4 linked regions of the Caenorhabditis elegans genome follow. The protein of the gene in region 3 purifies or fractionates together with the protein of the main gene of each other region. This does not show direct contact. Each region holds a gene or a part of one and is shown on either strand. Other genes may lie near its edges. The genes, in order: C50F4.12, F21A3.3, clec-170 and rab-14.

Region 1 (4,307 bases), on a different chromosome or scaffold from region 3:
TTTTTTAGCAATCTTCACCGCATCAATTTCAAATTCGCCGGAGAATCACGGTAAAGAATTTGATAAAATTGACTGGAGCAGCTATGATTCTGAAACTGGCTACACCATTGAACTTTGTGCTGGACTAATTGACAAGGAAGGATTATCTCCTAGAGAAATTGCATCAGAAGAAGTTGCTGAAGAATGTGGATATCGTGTGGATCCTGATGATCTAATTCATGTAATAACATTTGTTGTGGGTGCTCATCAATCTGGAAGTGCTCAACATTTATATTACGCGGAAATCGACGAATCCATGAAAATCAGCGAAGGAGGTGGAAATGTTCATGAGGGAGAAGTAATTACTAAAGTTTATTACCCTGTCAACGTTGCACGTGAAATTGCACGCCCTGCTATTGGAACACATGCAGAAGTGAAAGGACCTCCAGGCGTTCTTTTTGCTTTTCAATGGTGGTTTTTGGTTTTGGATCCAAAAAAGGTGAATAAAAGCATATTTTTATTTAACTTTTGAAGACTGGAAAAACCCTTCTTAAAAAACGTGTGTTTACGACAATCATTTAAAATTTTTACAGAAAGGGCTCATCGCAACTCCACCAACTGGATATCAATGGCAGCCGCACAATGTAAAAACCATTTCGAACGTAAAATTCAACACTGATTTTGACAAAAAGAAGTATGGTTATAATCCAAAGAGAATGATTTTCACAATTGTGAGTTGAAGTAAAGTTCTTAAATTATATGTATAAATGAGAATCTCTTGTAGAATGGAATAACCCGCAACTGGGATTTAGCCTTATGTCCAAACACAGCTACATGTATTCTTGTAGATATGGTGAAGAAAGAATTGATTTTCTTGCAGAAACTCCGTGCACGTAAGTAATTTTTAAATCGAACTTTAATGAAATGTAAGTTTACAGCGGTGTTTGTTGGAAAAAATCGTTTTTTGAAAGAAAACATTGGAAAGCCTCTGGATGAGATTGATTTCTCGAATTCCGATCCTAAAATTGCATACACTGTAAGTCTAGAATGCTGTATTTCCCACAATATTATATGTAATTTTCCAGCTTGAACTCGTTGTTAACCGTGTTCCGGATTTCGACGATCCTCGAAAATTCGCTCGAATCTCAGTGAAGCAACTTGGCTACGATCTTCCAGAAGATTCGTTTAAACTCCAAGCAAAGTGTATTCCGGGAATCGGTCAATCTGGAGACACCCAATCTATTTTTGCCGTGGATGTTAGTAAAGCACGACTTTGTGAGAAGGAAGAAGATGAAGACATTGAAGAACTTCGTGTTTCTTTTGCGGATTTGCCGTCTCTGTACCGACAACACAATATAGGACCACCAACTACTTACTATGCCATTGGATTTGCTCTTGATCAGCTTCTCGAGAGAGACACGCTGTAAATCGAATACATTCCTGCTTTTCTATATTTAAAAACATTTCCCATCGAATTGTACATAGACCTATCTAGACCGGTGTCTTATACGCATCCTGTTTAATGAATAATAAATTATTTTATCATGCAGAATGTGAGATTTCTAGAGACTTCGTGTGTAGAAACCACTATCTACCTTTTTTGAGTGTCAGAGATATCCTTGGACAGGACATTTTAAACATTTTTAAATGCAGACAATGACAGTACCAGCATCGATTGTTCGTTTTATGGGTACTACAGCAATTATTGGATTTCGGCAACAAACGAGAGGCATGACTATGGTAATATCTAATGTAACGTATTTTTATTCTAATTTCTAATTTAAGATTACACCAAAGAAGCCTCCAGATCTTTCCTTCAAACCTGCAACGCAAGTAAAAACTGTTTCGGAGAAGAGTCTTCAAAGTTCTCTCACTGATGAAGAAAGTCAAACTAATTTAGAGATAATTCAAAATTTTGATGACAAATGTCAAATTGAGAACACACGAGAAGTAGCAACAATTTCATCGGCTATTATTGCAGAGGCGCGAAGATTAAAATCTGAAACTGGTAGGGTTTCATAATTTTGATTATATTTCCAGATACTCTGAAAAATTCGTTCAAAAAATGCCGAAACACCATTATTAGTTGAATTATTTTATTTTATCGGAGCACCAGTTGGTCTAAAAGATTTGAAAATTTAACTATATAAAAAAATTTCAGGAAAAGCAACATACCGGAAAATTGAATACACAGAAGGAGAGCTTGATCATACTGACCTCACTGAACCAGCGTCTCCATCGAATCCTCACCCATTTGATCCCTCAGAACTTCCTCCAGTTCATTCGCATTCCATTGTTCCATTTGTAAATCACTCGCCGCTTCTTCGATTTTTAGTTGATATTGGTGTAGACCTTGCTGAAATTGAAAACACGACAACTGTTGGAAAGCATCTACTACGGTTGCAAATAGAAGACGTTCGACAGAAAATTGAATTGATGCAAAACGAAATAGGGTTTGAAAATGAAGCGATTGGTCCATATTTAACAAGAAATCCGTTCTTTTTAATTCAAGATGTGAATGATATGCAAACAAGGCTCAATTATTTAGAGCTTAAGAAATTCACAAAGTCTGAAAGACTAAAGATCGTTGATGAATATAGATATTGGTTGAATTGCAATGTTCAGTTGATTGATTCACGATTGGGATGGTTACAGCAACAGTTCAAGTTATCAGCAAAAGCGACTAGAGAAATTATCGTCAAGGAACCTCGAATTATAATGTTTGGAACTGGACCAATTGAACGACTTGTTAAGATGTTTAACAAAGAACTCAACTTCACTACAAATCAACTAAAAATGTTAGTCATGGAGGATCCAAGAATTTTTATGATGGGTGAGATTTCATTTTTTTATAATAAGTGACTAATTAGTATAAAATTGAAAACTTTCAGATTCTAAATTGGTATCGAAGACCTACAAATACGTTCGCGACGTCATGAAAATCAACAATGAAACTATTCTGGAGCATCCATTCATTCTTCGATGCTCATTAAGCGTCATAAAGTCAAGACATGACTTCCTTAAACGCCTCGGACGAGCAAATTATCAGTTGGCCGAAAAAAAAGAATCGAAAATTGATATTTCTGAAGTTACCGATCCAGAAGGATCTTCAAAAGAAAGCTGTGATCTTGTTAGCCTTGAACATTTTTTACATCCTTCTGATGCTGGTTTTGCGATGCTTGCGGCTAAAACATATCCAGTAGCATTTGATAAATTCCTGAGAAATTCATAGTTTAGTTATCCTGTTTTTGTTGTTGTTTTTTTTCTGTTATTTAGAGCCCTCCCATGGAACTTCATATTAGCGGGTTGTTGATTTAATTTCATTACTTTCATATTTACACATTTATATTATTTAAAATACACATTAGGATTTCAAGCAGGGGTGTGCGGCAAATTTGCCGAATTTGCCGTTTGCCGAGCTCGGCAAATTTCAAAAAAGTAGATTTGTCGAATTTGCCGAGCTCGGCAAATTTCGAAATTTGCCGCACACGTCAAAAATTTTACAGTACAATTTTGATTGATTTTTCGCCAAAAATTTAGTAAAATGACACAAAATTGAGTTAGTTTTATGCTTAAGCAGACATACTACACGGGACTAATTCAGAAACCAGATGTGTGTTAAGAATTCGGTAGTTTTGGTGTTCCAAAAAACATCAAAAATTATCAAAATTTTCCGAGTTTGTTAAGCACGGCAAATTTGCCGAATTTGCCGTGCTTGGCAAATATTGAAAAAAGAGATTGCCGAATTTGCCGAGCTCGGCAATTTTTGAGATTTGCCGCACACCCCTGATTTCAAGCATATATAGTTCAAAATAAAATAATCATTTATCGTTTCTTATCTTTCAAGTAATCCATCTAATGATGATTGCACTTTATTTACAGTCCAGTACAATTTTTCTAGGTCTTTGGCACATAGTTGTACTTGTTTCACTCCTTGATCAGTCGAAAAGGTCAGGACAGCTTCACGATCGGATGATGGAATATTGTTTCGACGTACAACTGTTCGTGAAGTCCAGTCTGTTGACAGAACACGTGGAATTCCGGAATGAGAGCATGAAGCAAGTGATTCGAATAATTGGGAAAAGGTTTCAGAAGTATAGGCTTCCAGAATTCCTTTGACAACAGCATCAGGATAACCGTTCTGAATATTAATTTTCTTGAATTGTTAATTAGAAATTCATTATACCTCTTGTAATGTATCAATAAAAACTTCAGATTTCGGCTGGAAGTAAATGGCATACTTCCAAACATTCAAGAGTTGATGACACTGGAAAATTTGAATTAATTGTATTAAAAATGAACATGCTGCAATTACCAATTTGAAAAGG
Region 2 (4,147 bases), on a different chromosome or scaffold from region 3:
TCAAAATCTCTTCATAGACTCTATTCCTATCTCTAGTAGAACTCCTTCACTAAAAAAACCATCGACAAGAGAGTTCGGCTTCTGGTGAAAAATTAAATTAAGCCCCTCTCAATTCCTTTTTAGCAAATAGTTTCTTGCGCGCCACCGAATTCAATTGTTCCGTGGTCCGGAGAAAGTGGTAATGAAAATGGATTTTCAATGAGAGAATGCACTGGAGTGTGTGGCACAAAGTTCTAAATTTGATTATGTATATACAGTACGGTTTTTCTGCAAAAAAGATGACCTAGATAAGGGACTTTTGAACTTCGTGGCCGACACCTCGCGGGTTTTTAACTTCCACTGCAATCCTACGCAACCCGTGCGGTGTCGCATGCCCCGTAACAAAAATGTCTTCCTGATCAATTTTTACACCTGCAAAACTTTCAGAAAAGGCACACGTCCAGTGACCCATCCGAAAAAGGTGATCTCAGTTTCGATGAGCGTATTCCTGTATCAAATCGTTAAGCTGGTAAGTTTTTATTTCGAATTTCTACAACAACAAAAAATCAATAATAAAATAGACCCGTTTCAATAAATCATTTCAGGACGCCGTCAAGAACACCATCAGTCTGTCGGGCAGCTTTGAGTTGGTGAGTTTACAGGGACTTTCGCTTTTTCTCAACGGGTGTCGGGATAAGATCCGTCATGTAGTTGAACACTTTTTTGTACCTGGAAAATTGAGGTTGATCTCGAGCAAGTGTATTTTAATGTGCAGAAAACGTGGCAAAAGAATTTTACAAAAATATGACGTCATTAGATTTGCCGCGCTTTCTCAAGATCATACGGTAAACCTTTTCAACCATTTGGTTGTAACTCCACGGCCATCAACCATCACAACCCGTTCTTCCAAAGAGTTGGCATTTATCAAATTGAACATTCTCTTTGACTTGACAATTTCGTCTCGGAACACTCCAGCCATTCCCTTCTTATATTTGGTTTCCAATCGGATTTGGGTACCGCGCACAGTTCCTTCCTCGATGAGCATTAGACCTGAAGAAATTTGTAGCTCAAGTGGGTGGTGAAGAAAATGGTCTGCGTCTCGTGTCGCCGAAAATTTTGGGATTCTCGGCTAATAACACTAGCCGGCAAATGACACTCCTGACATCCTAGTGTGCTCCTTTAGGAACCTAGATTGCCCATCGGCTTGGTCATCTTATCCGCGACCCTAGAATCAATGACAGCGGTAGCGCTAGCTTTCTGTTTCATTATACCCCCTCTTTGTTACATAGTTCTAGAAAGGTGACAAAGCTTGACAGAAAGTTGAGACCATAGACCACTTGCCGAGACCTGGGTCGCTATGCCGTGGGTTAGCGAGAACAATTCCGCAGCGTAAAATTAACCGTTACCTGTATTAGTCACAAGCTCAATCGACACCAAATCGTCCCCTTCGTCCGGTTTGTTCAACTCCACAAAACCCGTATCCTCGTGGAAAGGTTTAGACGTCAAAAATCCGAATTCCACGTGGACATCGGTCCCATCAAGCGTCTCGGCTCGCACTCTACAAGTTGTAGGTTGTTATTCATCGGGGCGCATTTGCATACATCCCATCAAAAATGCCAAAACCTCAAAGCTCAAAACCCTTGAACAACAAACAAAACAAGTAAAATATCGAATAACATCACACGATAGACATAAAATTTTTCTGACTTACGAAATATTAACCGGCGGTCTGTCAAAAGAGGGAACTTCCGAAATTTGAACGTCCAAGATTTCCTTGTAAGGTCCGGACATTGGCTCCGGAAATCTAAAAGTTTATAGAACATATGCCAACCTATTCAAAAATTATTCTTATTTACCTATGATGAGCACTTGTCTTTGACTCCCATCTGCCCACAAACCACTCAATGTTGTCGAGAATTGGTGGAAGAGCGAGCGCCAGCTCTGGAAAAAACAAGAATATCTTGGGGTCCAAAAGAGCTATCAAAAAGTTGTCAACTGATAAAGTGTTTAGCATAAAATTTCCTACATTTTGTCAGTGGACAACATTTTGTGAGGAATGACAAAACTCACGCTTTCCGTTATTTTTGCATTGGCCGCAGGACAAAGCACAGTTGTCAGCGAAAAATGGAGAAATCGGCCGCGTCCAGTGACAGCGTTCTTCTGACTTCCACCGAGCACAACTTTTGTAGACATCTTGGCATGGTCCTAAAAAATTGGGTTTTTGGGTCTCGACGCGAAAACTGGTTACTTTGACATCTTCTACCCATAAGTCCAAATGGGCATTCACACCGATTTCCTAGTGACAATTCCATGCACTTTCCGCCGGGACCACACGAATTCGGTTCGGACGGAGAGCAAAAATCGATTACTGAAAATTTCCGAATTGATGTGCCGCAGAATGCGAAACTTACTTGTTTTTGTCATGGTCTGTGAATAGGTACATACGGCTAAAGAAGATAAAAATAAAACTAGGTTTATCCTGGTCATGGTCTGCAATGTTTGAGGGGTCATTAGATCCATAAAGCAAAAAGGAGGGGAAAGGGGGGAGGGGGGAAAAGTGAGAATACAATAATAAATAAAAAGATGCGCAAATGCCAAAACGACACGATGCCAAACGCCGATAGTAATGAGAAATACACACGAAAGTGAGAATAAACACACGCGCATATACAAGTGGACAATTCCATTTGAAGGACGCGCCTGTTTCCTCAAAAGCATGTCAAACGAAAAAAGTAGGTCCTGGCCGGGTTCGAACCGGCGACCTTCTGTGTATGAAGCAGACGTGATAACCACTACAGGACCCGCCGAAATTCGGCTGTTGAGGGGTTCAACACACACAGAGGGGTTCAACAAATTAGCATGACCGTAATAAGCTACTCAAAAAATGAGGTACATCGAAAACGATGATTTGGGAATAAAAATGGAAATTGGCGAAAAGGAAGGAGAATATTGAAGGTCGTTCAAGACCAGTTGACACAAGTACTTGATAAGGGAAGGCCAACACATCGAGGAAGTTAAGAGGGGGCGGGTTGGGGGCCAAATGTAATGTTACAGCAGTTTGTGGCGGTAGAAAACTGCAAAAATAGATCTCACTGGAACCGAGGGAACTGAAAAAGTTTGCATAGGACACAAGAACTTATCCGACGTGGCCCGCAAAACGTCGGCTGCGCGCTACTATCTATTTTAATATACGATCATTGCAGTACTGGGAAGACGAATTCTTGAAGTGGAACCCGTCGAGCTACGAGGGAGCCGAAGAGATTTTCCTGTCGAGTTCCGATATTTGGATCCCCGAATTTTCGTTGTACTACAGGTGATTTAATGAGTACAGACAAAAAATGAACACTTAATAAAAGTGAGAGTGAAAGGGAAAATAAGTGAGAGAATAGTAAAAAATGATGGGTGGAAATTGAGGAACGTAAGTAGGAACGGAGAAGAGATAATGATCGAAAATCGTCAAAACTCCTCTGCAGAAATCGAACCATTGACTTTCTGGGCCTGAGCCATCCGTGTTCACCACTGCGCCATTTGAGCGCGCGGACCGGAATTTTAGTTGGCACGAAAGGTCAAAGTTTCGCGAACTTTTCTTTCTCTTTTACACTGTTCGAGTATCTAAATTAGCTTCTCGTCACTTTTTTTCTCTCGCGAACAGCAGATAAAAACACATAAATCTCATTGTACTAATCACTTTTTTTTATTATCCTATCTCTATTATCGCCTAAGATTTTATTATGTGTAAGAAAAAAAAATTATTTCTAGAAAAAAATCGAACCCATTGTAAACTGTATAGCAAACTGTATAGCTTGCTACAATAGAATTTTTAAAAATACGTTAAAAAAGCCAATTTTGAGAGATGTTAGGTCCTGGCACGAGCGAAACTTTTCGGCTATCGTAGCCATGATTTAAAGGCGCACGCATTTATTCGGATGGGTCTCGCTGCGAAAAAGCTTACGGTAGTTTTTTTTTTCTGAAATGGCTTCTTTTGGAAAATGACAAATAAAAAACTGAAAAAAACTTAGCGAATATCAAGAATTCTCAGAAACTTGTAATTCACAGTTAGCACGAATAAATTTCCAAAAATAGAAATCAACACTCTATGCGCCTTTAAATGTTCAATATTTTGAGTTAGAGCACAGTTTAAGACTTCTATGGAGTGATAGAGAGACGC
Region 3 (7,782 bases):
CACAGCCATTCAGTTTTTCAGTTAATGGGTCATATTCCTATTTATGATCCTCCTTATCCAATTTACTGTGCTAACCCGATTCTCTCTAGTCAAAACATGATGGAGTTGCCATCAATGAACGTTCCGTTCTCTAGATATTGTTGGGTGACTTTAACAATTCAAGATCACCGTAGGTTCTTGTTCTTTTACTTTTAAAACATTATTTAATCTTTCAGTTCCCATAGATTCCTTTCGGTCACTCAATCTTTCCATAACCAACGACAACTACAGCGGCGGTGACTTGAAAGCTTACCCGGCGGTAATTAAAATGACGTATTTCATTAATATCACAAAATTTAGGATTTTAATGGAATCCTTGCCGGTAATTGGTTTACTTTTAGCCCGGTGACTTACAGTATGAAACTACAGTATAATTACACGAATGGAGCTGAAGAAGCCACTCGAGTCAGAGTGTACTGTAAAAGGTAGTGCTTGAAAAAATCAGTTTTTTCTGATCAGATTGTAACGAAATTAAATTGCAATTTTAAAAGTTTTAGGACAAATCCAAATTGAGGCTACTACACCTTTAAACATTTTTTAAAAACTGCGTATACACGGAAGTCACAATCATTTTTATCATTTTCAATGTATTTTGCGGATAAAAAGACAAATTAAAAAATCGATTGAACAATTTTTTGTTATTTCAGTCCTCTTCCATATTGGCTTCCATACTGTGGCTAAGGCATTTCAAACTCGGCTGATTGGACTCTGATTTAAACAAATTCCAATAAAAATTATTTTCGCTCGACATTATTTTATGCATTGTATTAACTAAAATAAACTTAGAAAAATAGCGAATTTCAGCAAAAAAACTCTGATTTGAACAAATTCCGATAAGTTATATTCTCTCGACATGTTTTATATATCTCCAAAATGTTACTAGTTTTGGTGCCTGGAAACATTGTTCAATTGTTTTTTTTTTAATTTATAAAATACTCAGAAAAGATAAATTGACCCGGAAAATAATACATGAACATGCAATACGAAAGTCAGACGTTTATCATAGAAGTAAACATTAGATCAGAAACTTTTAAAAAATTGTTTTACAATTACCAACAACCCAAAAATTATGGCAAATAGTCACAAGAAAAAGTATTAAAGTCAGTTTTTTCCTTATCAGTTCAGTTATGGGAAGAATTGAAGTAATGAATGCAGCGAAAGGAATCGGGAATTAAAAACGGTTTGAACTTTATCAGTGTAAACGAATTTTATCTTGCCAATTGTACAGAGTCGCCAAAATTCGGTACATAGCGTGTGAATGTTGAAATTTTCTCATTTGACTGATAAACCAGGCCGATTCAACTATTAGGCACTTCAATAAGTTTTGTCGTTTTTTTTCCCCAAGTTTAATTTTTTCTTAGATATTTTTTTGGTTATATAGAAGACTGTTAGAAATGGTAAGCATAACAAAATACCTAATTTTAAGTCATATCGGACCATGATAAAGCTCAGAACTGTGAGGACAACTTTTTAATTTCGCCAAAAAGTTTTTTTTTTATCGAAAACTTTTTTTTTCGTCATCACAGTACTGTCTATCAGATTTAAAATATCAGAAAGTAATCCGATATAGGTGATATTGTTAGGCGTATCACTACTAAAAGTCTTCAATATAACCACATATCTAAGAAAAAAAAAACAGAAAAACTTATCAAAAGGCCTAATACATAAAAAACCATTTCTTATCAAATGTTTTCTCAGTTGACTTCAAATGATACTTCAACTATTTCTTCCCCTTGTTCTTGCTTCATTTGCACACAGTGCGTGTCTTGACAGTCGAGATAAGGAAATCAAAGGGTTATGTTTCACGTTCGTGTCCCAACAGTTGACATTTAATGATGCTCGTAATTGGTGTCATTACCAAAATCCAGTCACTTCTTCTTATTTGGCATATGTTCCTGATCAGTACACCAGCAGTTTTTTGGCCTGTGAGTTGTTAATCTTATCGAAATTGCACTGTCAAATGATAAAAAGAGCCTCATTCGTATTTCTAGCCTTCAAAAAAAGATTACAAAAAAACCATACTAGTATTAGGACAACTGTTGATGTGGTGAATGTAATAGAGACTTTGGGATTGAACCGCTATAAAGTGGTGAAACTTTTTCAAACTCTGAAGAACTTTTTTGTGTCCTTTCTAAAGGCTTTCAACAGAATATTATTAGAAACAAAACACATCTGAGAAAGTTACATGTGAACACTTTATAATTTTTAGCTGACGCTCGAACGGCATTTGAAACAAACAGCGGAAGTTTTTGGATTGGACTGAGTCGAAACAGTTCTTCAAGTCCATTCGCTTGGGATAATGGAAGTCCAGTGACTTACACAAACTTCGGCACTCAACTCGGTCAAAATTATTTGGCTCAAAGCGTGGTGAACACAAAATGGAATGCATTTGGAGAGAACGACAAGAACTTGTTTGTGTGCAGTTATAGTCCTGTTGCTCCACCAACTTTTTCACCTCCGAGCATTTCAACAACTCAACAAATTCCTATAACTTTCGCACCTCCATTAGTTTCTACGACTCAAAAAATTACTCCAGTTATTTCTACAACTCAGAGAATGCCAGTTACAGGTTAGTAAACGTAAAAAGTTATAATCCAATTGCTCCACCAACTTTTTCACCTCCAGTTATTACTTCGACTCAAGAACCAATAACAGGTTTGTCAAAAACAAAAATTTTTGGATTTATGAACTTCAAAACCAATAAAAACCAGCACTCTTGATTTAAATTATGAGCGCTCAATCTTCAATAAAGTAAAAATATAAACAAGGATAAGAAATAAATTTATTTTTCTGAAACTTTGATTATACTATCGGCATTTACCTGCAGCTTCTCGCACCAACTTTAGCTCTCAGCAGCTTTTTGCACAAATTTTGCCAAAAAAAAGTTTTTTTTTTTTTTTTTCATCCAAGTTTAGACAAAGTCTGACTAAAGGTAAAGTTTTTAAGTGCAAACTATTTATATATCTTTTTTTTCTAATTAAAAGCACATCCGTAAAAAAAGTATTCCGTTGTGATTAAGTTTGAATTAAAAAATTTTGCTCAATTTTTGATAGCTTTGTTGTTTTTCTCATGTAATCAAAAATTTGAACTGCTCGAAAAGTTTTTTTTAAATTACTGACTAGCTGGCTCTCCGCTTGTTTTAGGGGGTTTTTGCGAGTCGTCTTGAAAGATCGGGGTACGGTAGTTGTACACGAGAGTTATTGTAGACGTAAACCGAGACAACTGGTTTTGCACAAAATTTATTCATATTCTGAGTAAAAAAGGATTGTCAGTTGATAGAATTGAACCAACGAGCAAAAATTTCTACAGACATGCGCGGACAACCTTAGATGTAGAGAAGTGATCACTATAGATGTTTTCCAACTTTATTCCAATCATCCGATATAGTAGCAAATATCCGAAAATTTGGAAATACGCCCGCCTCTGCTTCTAAATAGCCAGTCACAGTCGACAACTTTTTAGGCAAAATTAGTACCCCTAATTTGTCAGCTCCCTAAATTGAAATTTCAAAGCCTATCTGTTCAGAAGAAAATTCTTGCAAGCCAACTGAAAATGGGACAATACTTTTTGCATTTTCAAATGATTACGGTGCGCAAACTGTGAAAAAAGCGTGGGACGGATATCCTTTTAAAGTTACCCCATGCTCCGGATATGCAATTGCAAGATTTGATGTGCGTGTAGAAGAAAGCATTGTTTATTTCACGGATTTTGGGTATTTATTTTTATCAAAACTGTTCATTCTTGAAATCAAAATTTAGAGACGCCCAGTCATATGTGTACTCCCATCTTCCTGATTCCAAATTGGGATTTAGAGACAAAAAGGCAGGGAGTGACGCACTTCAAATGGTTGAGGTATGTATTTTTTGTCGGATTACAGGAAATTTCATCCAAAACATTCATTTTACTACTTTAAAGAAATTCTACAACAGTAACAAAATTCCTATTTGCGGATCAATTGTCTTAATTCTTTTGAAACGTTATCCAAACGATTGGGATATTTCAAAAACAGTATCACTTGTGAGACAACATCATGGAATAGTTCATGCACTTTGTTCCGCTGATCCATCAGGCGGAACTCAATCAAAAGCGATTCATAGTCTAACTTCCAAAACGAATGGACTGTATAATATTGGAAAAGGCAGAGACTTTCATAACGTGAGTGACGATACACATTTTTACATTTTACGTACCTTATAACCGTATTTACGCGAGCAATATTAGAGGTGTCGATGGATCGAAAAGGGTCGACCCGGAACCCATTGCATAGTTTGGAAACATGATCGCAATTATATTACAGTGCATTTTTTTTTCCACTTGTACAACTTTAAAGGGGGCACATTTACGCGGAATGGTCCCGCCATTGGTCTCGCCACGCGCTTCAAAAATCAATGGATAACGCGTGGCGAGACCATTCCGCGTAAATGCGCCCCCTTTAAAGTTGTAGAAGTGGAAAAAAAATGCACTGTATTACAAAAAATAAATTTTATTTCTTCACATTTTTTTGCCGCGTCCCATTTGGGTCCGACATGCGAACCGTCGACCCGACCACGACGGGTCGCGGGTCGAAAAAAAGGACGTCCCCGGTGCATAGAAATCAAATTTGAACAGAACGGATCTTGTTTTAAAAATTTACGTCACATACCAGACCGTGGAAATTGGTCCTAATATCACGTAAAGATGTGTTTTTAGTTTGGGTGATAATGAAAAAGATCAAATTTTGACCCAAAGTAAAAGGGGACGTCCTGATATTGGGGACAAGGAACATCCCTCGTCCCCCAGTATGGGGACGGGAACGCGTCGCCCCCCCCCCCCCCCCCAAAAAAGGAGCGTCTCCCAAAAGGGTACGACCCTCATGACTGCCCTATGTTCGGTGGAGCGCGTTTGGACCCATCTAGCAACTGAACACGGTAGCACAGAAACTAGATGGCTTGGTTCATGATACTCAGTCTGAAAACCTATATTGGCTACTATCTCGAAAACTAACCCCAAATTTTATTTTGCGATGCATATGAAAAATGACCGCAAGAAAATTCTCTATCTTTTCTATTGAGAAATTTTTTGATTGAAACTTTCCTAACCGGTCAAATTAGGGTTTGTTCGGTAGAGCACGTTTGCACTCATCTAGTTTCTGTACCACCATGTGAACCACCGTGTTCAATCACGGTGCTTCAGTTGCTAGATGGGTGCGAACGCGCTCCACCGAACAAACGTGCATAACTTGGTCGGGAAGTACAAAATCGAAAATTCATCAACAATAAATATAGATAATTTCATCGCGGTCATTTCTTATACAGTGTGGGAAAGTTCTATAGGACCCCCCCTAATTTGAAGGTTTGAGGAACTTCCGAAAATTTTTTTGAAAAACTGCTAATGCCATTCGTTTTTAAATTGAAAAAAACCTATATACATTTTTTTCCAGAAGTTTATCTCAAAAACTGAGGTCGCGCTGGAAAAAACGTCAAAATCCAGTGTGAAACTTCTATAGGACCCCCCGTTTTTTTTCACGATTTTTACTAAAATCAACAGATTTTGGAATTTTTGACAAAGCTCAAATCAAGTTTGAGTTAGAAATGAGTTCAGATAAGCAGTTTTGACTTTAAAAAATTAATACGAAATGTTCTCGTGGGATCTCCAGACTGGTTCTGATTCTTCCGATCTTTGATGTTCAAGTCTGTTTCAAGCTTCCTGGTGCTCTCGGTAATGCCAAAACTTGATAAACTCTCTTTAACAAGTTCCTACTAAAATTCCTAGCACACACACCATAAACATTTTTACGCCATCCCCAAGAAACCAGTCAGAAACAGCGTATTAACAAGTTGCAGTTATTTTTGATCAACAACAGAACATTCATATACTAAAATCAAGAAAGGATCAATAGTTAATCGGGTTTCCTTGTGTGCGGATGATCTCAAACAGTCTGTCCTCCATTGATCTGACCAAACTTTTCAGCTGGTTGTCCGGAATAGACTTCCAAGCGTCGAGAATTCCTTGCTTCAACGATGCAACTGTTGGGTAAGTCTTGTTCTGAGCATACACGATACGGACAAGAATCCCCCACAAATTTTCGATTGGATTGAGATCAGGACTTCGAGCTGGCCAATCAAGAAGGTTGATCTTCTTGAGCTTGAAATAGTCGCGGGTTGAGTTGCTCACATGGATTGTCGCATTATCCTGCTGAAATCTAAAGTCTTTTCTGGAGTAGTGACGAAGATATTTGGAGAGCTCCAGTTCCAAGACGTTCTGATAGTCAGTGCTGTTCATCTTGCTACTGACGAACTGTATCTCAAGCTTCTTCTTCTCCGTGAACGCTCCCCAAACCATCACCGTTCCTCCTCCAAAATTACGTCTCGAAAAAACCATTGGTTCCTTGCGCAAATCGCGCCAATAGTAGCGGCAACCGTCAGGCCCATCGAGATTGAATTTCTTTTCATCGGAGAAGACAACCTAAAACAATGATCCTAATTATTCACTCTTGCTTTTTTAAATTCTCACTTTACTCCAATTCGTTCCCATATTGTTCTTAGCAAATTCCAATCGCTTGAGTTTATGGTCTGCAGAGAGTAACGGAGCAGGGCGAAGTTTCTGACGAACGATTACACCAGATCGTTTGATGACATTGAGGATGGTCCTTTTTGAAGCAGACAATTGAAGCTCATTGCGAATATCTCTTGCCGTCTTACAGGAGTTGGAGGCAGCACGAATCACATTTCGTTCGTCACGCACGGAGAGAGCTTTGCGACGAGGAGCTCTTTTAGATGTACCGTAGCTCACCGGATCCTTCAGATACTCGCGAATACAGTGTCGAGAACGGGAAATTTTCCTACTCATTTCATGCAGGGACACATTGAGCAATTTCATAACATCCAGCTGAGCGCGTTCAGTGTCCGAAAGGGCAGATCCTCGAGGCATTGCAAGTTAGACTGCTTTCGAAGTAAGCTTTCCAGCCTCTATATGTGTGCCACAACACATGCCACAATTCCACATTTAATAATTCACGCAAAAAATAGTAAATAACATCTGTGAGGGACAATTTAACTTGAAATATTGGTCCCATGGAACCTTGTAATCAAAGAAAAACGATTTGATTCCTGATAAGCCTTCCATTGTTTCCTGCTGCATATTTTGCCAAATCAGCTTGACTACACAGTCGAAACATCTAAAGTGCGTGCTAGGAATTTTAGTAGGAACTTGTTAAAGAGAGTTTATCAAGTTTTGGCATTACCGAGAGCACCAGGAAGCTTGAAACAGACTTGAACATCAAAGATCGGAAGAATCAGAACCAGTCTGGAGATCCCACGAGAACATTTCGTATTAATTTTTTAAAGTCAAAGCTGCTTATATGAACTCATTTCTAACTCAAACTTGATTTGAGCTTTGTCAAAAATTCCAAAATCTGTTGATTTTAGTAAAAATCGTGAAAAAAAACGGGGGGTCCTATAGAAGTTTCACACTGGATTTTGACGTTTTTTCCAGCGCGACCTCAGTTTTTGAGATAAACTTCTGGAAAAAAATTTATATAGGTTTTTTTCAATTTAAAAACGAACGGCATTAGCAGTTTTTCGAAAAAATTTTCGGAAGTTCCTCAAACCTTCAAATTAGGGGGGGTCCTATAGAACTTTCCCACACTGTATGCATCGCAAAATCGATTTTGTGACGGTTTTCGAGATAGTGGCCAATATAGGTTTTCAGACTGAGTATCATGAACCAATCCATCTAGTTTCTGTGCTACCGTGTAATACGGTA
Region 4 (4,281 bases), on a different chromosome or scaffold from region 3:
TCTGCTGGATGATCTCCATTGTTATATAGATCCGCAGCCGGAACCATAGATCCACGTGTCAGTTGCACGTAGTGATCATTCAACGCTTTGATGATGTGCGGGGGTAGACGACCCAGTGGACGAAGTTCAAGTGTTTTTGCAGGTCCGATTGAAGAATAGCAGATTGGAAGCGTCGTGCCAAAATTCTTTGGATCAATCTTCGGAGCATTGCGAACTCTATAGTGGTACTCTGCTTTGACATTTGGGAAGACGACATTCTTCTTGGCTAGAACATCGTAAAACACCCTTGGACGACTTGAGGTATTTCCAACAAAAGGAAGAGTTGTGGGCCTCCTTCTTGAAACGGCATCCTGACGAACTGGTTCAGAAAGATCTTTTGCGGTTTTTCTGACTCCAGTTCTAGGATTGGCTACGGTTTTGGTTTTGCATTTTGTACGAGCCATACCCTGAAAAACAAAAAAAATAATGTTTAGGGAACATTGTTACAAAAGGAGAAGAAGCAAATGAGATAAAGTTGGTAGACTACAGACAAGAAAATGCAAAGAATGATAACCCTAGAATTGGTAAGAATGAAGGGGTGTTATTGCGAAACATTACTGGCTGCGAGGGTTTCACAATGAATTTTCCGTTTTTTTTTTTTTTAATATTTCGCAATACTACATTGTAGATGACTAGAGGGAGGACCGCCCTTCTTCACATATCACAGAAACGACGAGAGGAATCGGAAGAGAGCGCGTGGCGATGAGAGAAGCTCGTGCATCAGCAGGTATTGCGAAATATCATCGCGGCACTACGATCAACACAAGTGTCAGAGAAGGAAACTACGGGGACCGAAACGAGAGATAGAGAATGAGTGGGTAGATGGTCGAATAGTGATAAAATCAAATGTCTCGAGAACTGTAAGACTGTTCACAAACGAGTTGTAACCGATTAGGGGAGCCATGGTTGGAAATTGAAGTCATAATTTGCAATTTGATTAGGCTATTAAGCATATTTAATATTATAGTATTTTACTCTGTTCTGAAGATGAATTTGAAGAGCAAAACAAGAAGCAGGAGGAAATAATTGTTTTTTCCATGTCTTAGGCATCTACGTATATGAAAAAGAAAAAGCATGATCTCTTTGGAACAAGGAAAAAGATAGCTGGCTCAACACCAATGACAGATGAATAAGGAGAAAAGCTAGAGCCCACACACACGTGCGCATTCACTCGTCATTTCACTCTTCTCTCTTTTTGTCTCTCTACGTGTTTTTTTCTTCATCTCCAATCCGTCTCCTACGCGGCACATAAGGCGAGAGTCAGACAGCACAGTACAGCGCACACCGAGAGCGAGACGTTAGAGACACGCAGTAGAGACCAGTTCCGTTGCAAGCGTCGCGGTCGATAGTACGCGACGCGTCGTTTCTCAGAGAAGACAGAGATAGAGGAATGGAGGGGCCCCCGTTTTTGTCCAGTGTCTCTTTCCTCGTGATATTCCATTGCGTAGCACTCCTCGTACAACTGCTCCTCTCTCTCTCTCCGACATTGCCTCTTTTAGCTTTCTGGAGGCCAATGGATTCTCTATTGCTTTTGGACGTGGCGTTCATCTTTCTCTATCCCAACTACTTCCACATTTGTCTCTCTCTCCCCGTCGGTTTTCCCCTACTTCCAACTAATGACAACTTGGCAGTCAGTCTCTAATAGCCACTTTCTTTTGTGTGGTCTATCTATTCTCATTGCTACTTTTTTGTATCCTTTTTTCTGAAACGAATAACCAAAATATAATCCGCAACTTTCAGGTAACAAAAACACATAAAAATGACGGCTGCTCCTTACAATTATTCGTATATTTTCAAATATATTATTATTGGTGATATGGGTGTCGGAAAATCGTGTCTTCTTCATCAGTTCACAGAAAAGAAGTGTAAGTCCCGCATTCCTGGAAAATCGATATATCATGTTGTTTGTGTCAACATTAGTCATCAACAAGAGACCTGTTCCTCCGGTCAATAACCACCGTACAATCACTGCGGGCAACAAACGCAAAAACTAACTATAACTAACTTTCAGTCATGGCCGACTGCCCGCACACAATCGGCGTGGAATTCGGCACCAGGATTATTGAGGTCAGCGGACAGAAGATCAAGCTTCAAATCTGGGACACGGCGGGCCAGGAGCGATTCCGCGCTGTGACGCGATCATATTATCGTGGAGCAGCCGGAGCCTTGATGGTCTACGACATCACTCGCCGTTCTACCTACAATCATTTGAGCAGCTGGTTGGCCGACGCAAAAAGCTTGACCAATCCAAATACGGTAGGTAAAATATATACTTGGTTTATAATTTTTACTCAAAAGTAGGGTTGAAAAATATATAAAAACTCGAATTTATACTTTATAAAAGCATTCCCAAGTTCCAAAATTAAAGCGAATTTGAACTTTCAGCAAAATTTCAAAACTACATAGATGTACGCCATGTTTAGTAAATTGCAATTTATGAATTTTTGCAAGCATAACATTTATTTGCAGCTCAAAAGATCGTAGACTATAAACTGAATTTCAATCAAAATTCTCATGAATCAGATTTAAGCTGGAAAACATTCAATCTGTATGTGCTCTAAATTGTGTGTTTTATCGTTAAACTAATATCTAAAAAAAACGAGTTAAAATTGGGTTATCTAGTTTTATTTGGAGAGTTAAAAATCTACCTGTATTAGTAAGAAAACAGTATTTCGTCCACTTTGCACTGATTTAATTTTACAATAAAAATGAGATTCAAGCACCAATTCTCACAAGTTCCTTTTTCAGGCCATCTTTCTTATCGGAAACAAAGCCGACCTCGAAGATCAACGTGACGTGCCATACGAGGAAGCAAAAGCTTTCGCCGAAGAAAACGGGCTCACTTTCTTGGAGTGCAGTGCGAAGACGTAAGTTTCTTCCCCCCACCCCCCCACTGCAAATTCATCAATTTCAAATGGCTTTTTTTTCAGTGGCAGTAACGTCGAAGACGCTTTCCTCGAAACGGCCAAGCAAATCTATCAGAATATCCAAGACGGAAGTTTGGACTTGAACGCCGCCGACACTGGCGTCCAGCCAAAACAGAACTTGCCACGTGCAGCTGAAAATAATGGGAAGAAGGACTGCAACTGCTAGTTGATGTGTGCAAAGTCCCTTCTTCCCCTCAAATCATTCCCAATTGATTTTAATGTATTTTTTTAAATTATTACTTTCTAATCCGTCTATCTGTATGTGAGAGCTTGTCACCCATTATCATTAAAATGCCAGAAGAATCAACATTGGGTGGTATGGTTTCTTGTTTCCAAATTCTAGTTGCCTGTCAAAATCTAAACTTGTAATCACTATAAAACTACTCTGAAATTCAGAACTTTGTGTCACTTTTACTTACCAATTCCCAGTCTTTTTCAGTCCCCCACCCATTACTCACTATCATCATCGAACTGTGAACCGTTCATAATATAACACTTTCGCTCACCCAACCAACTGCATATTTAGTAGATTTTTTCTGTCAAAAACCGTTTTGAACATTTTTCCCCCATTCCTTGTGTGATAAGAAACATCTATATGATCCCACCCCATTAAGTGCTATAATTGTGCTTTGAAAATCAAAAAAACTAACGATTTTTGTCATTTTTGTCACTTTTCCTTATAAATAGTTCTCTGTTGTTAGTTTTATGAACCTATGATTTCAGAAAACTTTTTCAAAATTTATTTTTTTTGTTTAATCATTTTTCAGCAAAATTCAATTGTACATATAATATTTAAAAAAACTATTCATTGAAGCATGAAGTGCTCAATCTTCAAAGTTAACATCACCAGTAATAGTCAAATGTGTTTTCAAGTGTGCGTAAATTTTTCTAATGACAGAGTAATCCGTGGCTGAAATGGGATTCTAGTCACGGGTGGGCAGCAAACGATTGTTTCCGGCAAATCGGCAAATCGGCAGATTGCAGGAATTGCAGATTTCCGGCAAATCGGCTAATCGGCAAATTGCCGATTCGCCAAATTTGCTGGAAAAAAAGAAACTTGCCAAAAAATTTCTGCAAATTGTGGTTTCGCACTTATTTTTTTGGAAATTTTAGAATTCCAATTTCAAATGACAAAATTTTACGCATCCTATGAATATTCCTACATCTATTTCGAAAAGTAAGCAAATTCTATGAAAATATGTAGACAAAACGGAAAAAATTCAAAAAAAAACGGTTTTAAGAGTTTCCGTTCTATAAAAAGTCCCTCTAAAAATTTCCGGGAAATCTGATATTCGGCAAACGGCAAATCGGCAAC

Evidence for each region.
Region 1: the proteins of clec-170 (region 3) and C50F4.12 fractionate together in Caenorhabditis elegans (co-fractionation; one large-scale study listed by BioGRID). This does not show direct contact.
Region 2: the proteins of clec-170 (region 3) and F21A3.3 fractionate together in Caenorhabditis elegans (co-fractionation; one large-scale study listed by BioGRID). This does not show direct contact.
Region 4: the proteins of clec-170 (region 3) and rab-14 fractionate together in Caenorhabditis elegans (co-fractionation; one large-scale study listed by BioGRID). This does not show direct contact.

The regions. Positions count from the first base shown.
Region 1 is NC_003283.11:9,537,064-9,541,370, reverse strand, and holds C50F4.12 (Transcription termination factor 3, mitochondrial), read left to right. Parts: upstream 1-1,632; 5' UTR 1,633-1,635; coding exon 1,636-1,719; intron 1,720-1,764; coding exon 1,765-1,987; intron 1,988-2,140; coding exon 2,141-2,812; intron 2,813-2,870; coding exon 2,871-3,211; 3' UTR 3,212-3,796; downstream 3,797-4,307. Other genes in the region: C50F4.16 (Uridine diphosphate glucose pyrophosphatase NUDT14), read left to right, coding at 9-478, 573-710, 764-872, 918-1,015, 1,065-1,406; C50F4.4 (COMM domain-containing protein), read right to left, coding at 3,815-4,120, 4,166-4,246, 4,295-4,307.
Region 2 is NC_003283.11:15,516,035-15,520,181, reverse strand, and holds F21A3.3 (EGF-like domain-containing protein), read right to left. Parts: upstream 2,470-4,147; 5' UTR 2,467-2,469; coding exon 2,391-2,466; intron 2,348-2,390; coding exon 2,228-2,347; intron 2,185-2,227; coding exon 2,050-2,184; intron 1,921-2,049; coding exon 1,836-1,920; intron 1,784-1,835; coding exon 1,691-1,783; intron 1,538-1,690; coding exon 1,386-1,537; intron 1,030-1,385; coding exon 831-1,029; intron 709-830; coding exon 636-708; 3' UTR 630-635; coding exon of another isoform or gene 585-629; 3' UTR 509-584; downstream 1-508. Other genes in the region: lgc-31 (Neur_chan_memb domain-containing protein), read left to right, coding at 427-508, 585-629, 3,183-3,292.
Region 3 is NC_003282.8:1,265,129-1,272,910, forward strand, and holds the start of clec-170 (C-type lectin domain-containing protein), read left to right. Parts: upstream 1-1,737; 5' UTR 1,738-1,747; coding exon 1,748-1,964; intron 1,965-2,248; coding exon 2,249-2,608; intron 2,609-3,564; coding exon 3,565-3,751; intron 3,752-3,797; coding exon 3,798-3,891; intron 3,892-3,954; coding exon 3,955-4,194; intron 4,195-7,782. Other genes in the region: F38A1.13 (DUF7154 domain-containing protein), read left to right, coding at 100-169, 216-298, 340-464, 687-720.
Region 4 is NC_003284.9:15,604,134-15,608,414, reverse strand, and holds rab-14 (Ras-related protein Rab-14), read left to right. Parts: upstream 1-1,779; 5' UTR 1,780-1,798; coding exon 1,799-1,904; intron 1,905-2,050; coding exon 2,051-2,295; intron 2,296-2,787; coding exon 2,788-2,906; intron 2,907-2,969; coding exon 2,970-3,132; 3' UTR 3,133-3,780; downstream 3,781-4,281. Other genes in the region: Protein nipi-3, read right to left, coding at 1-443.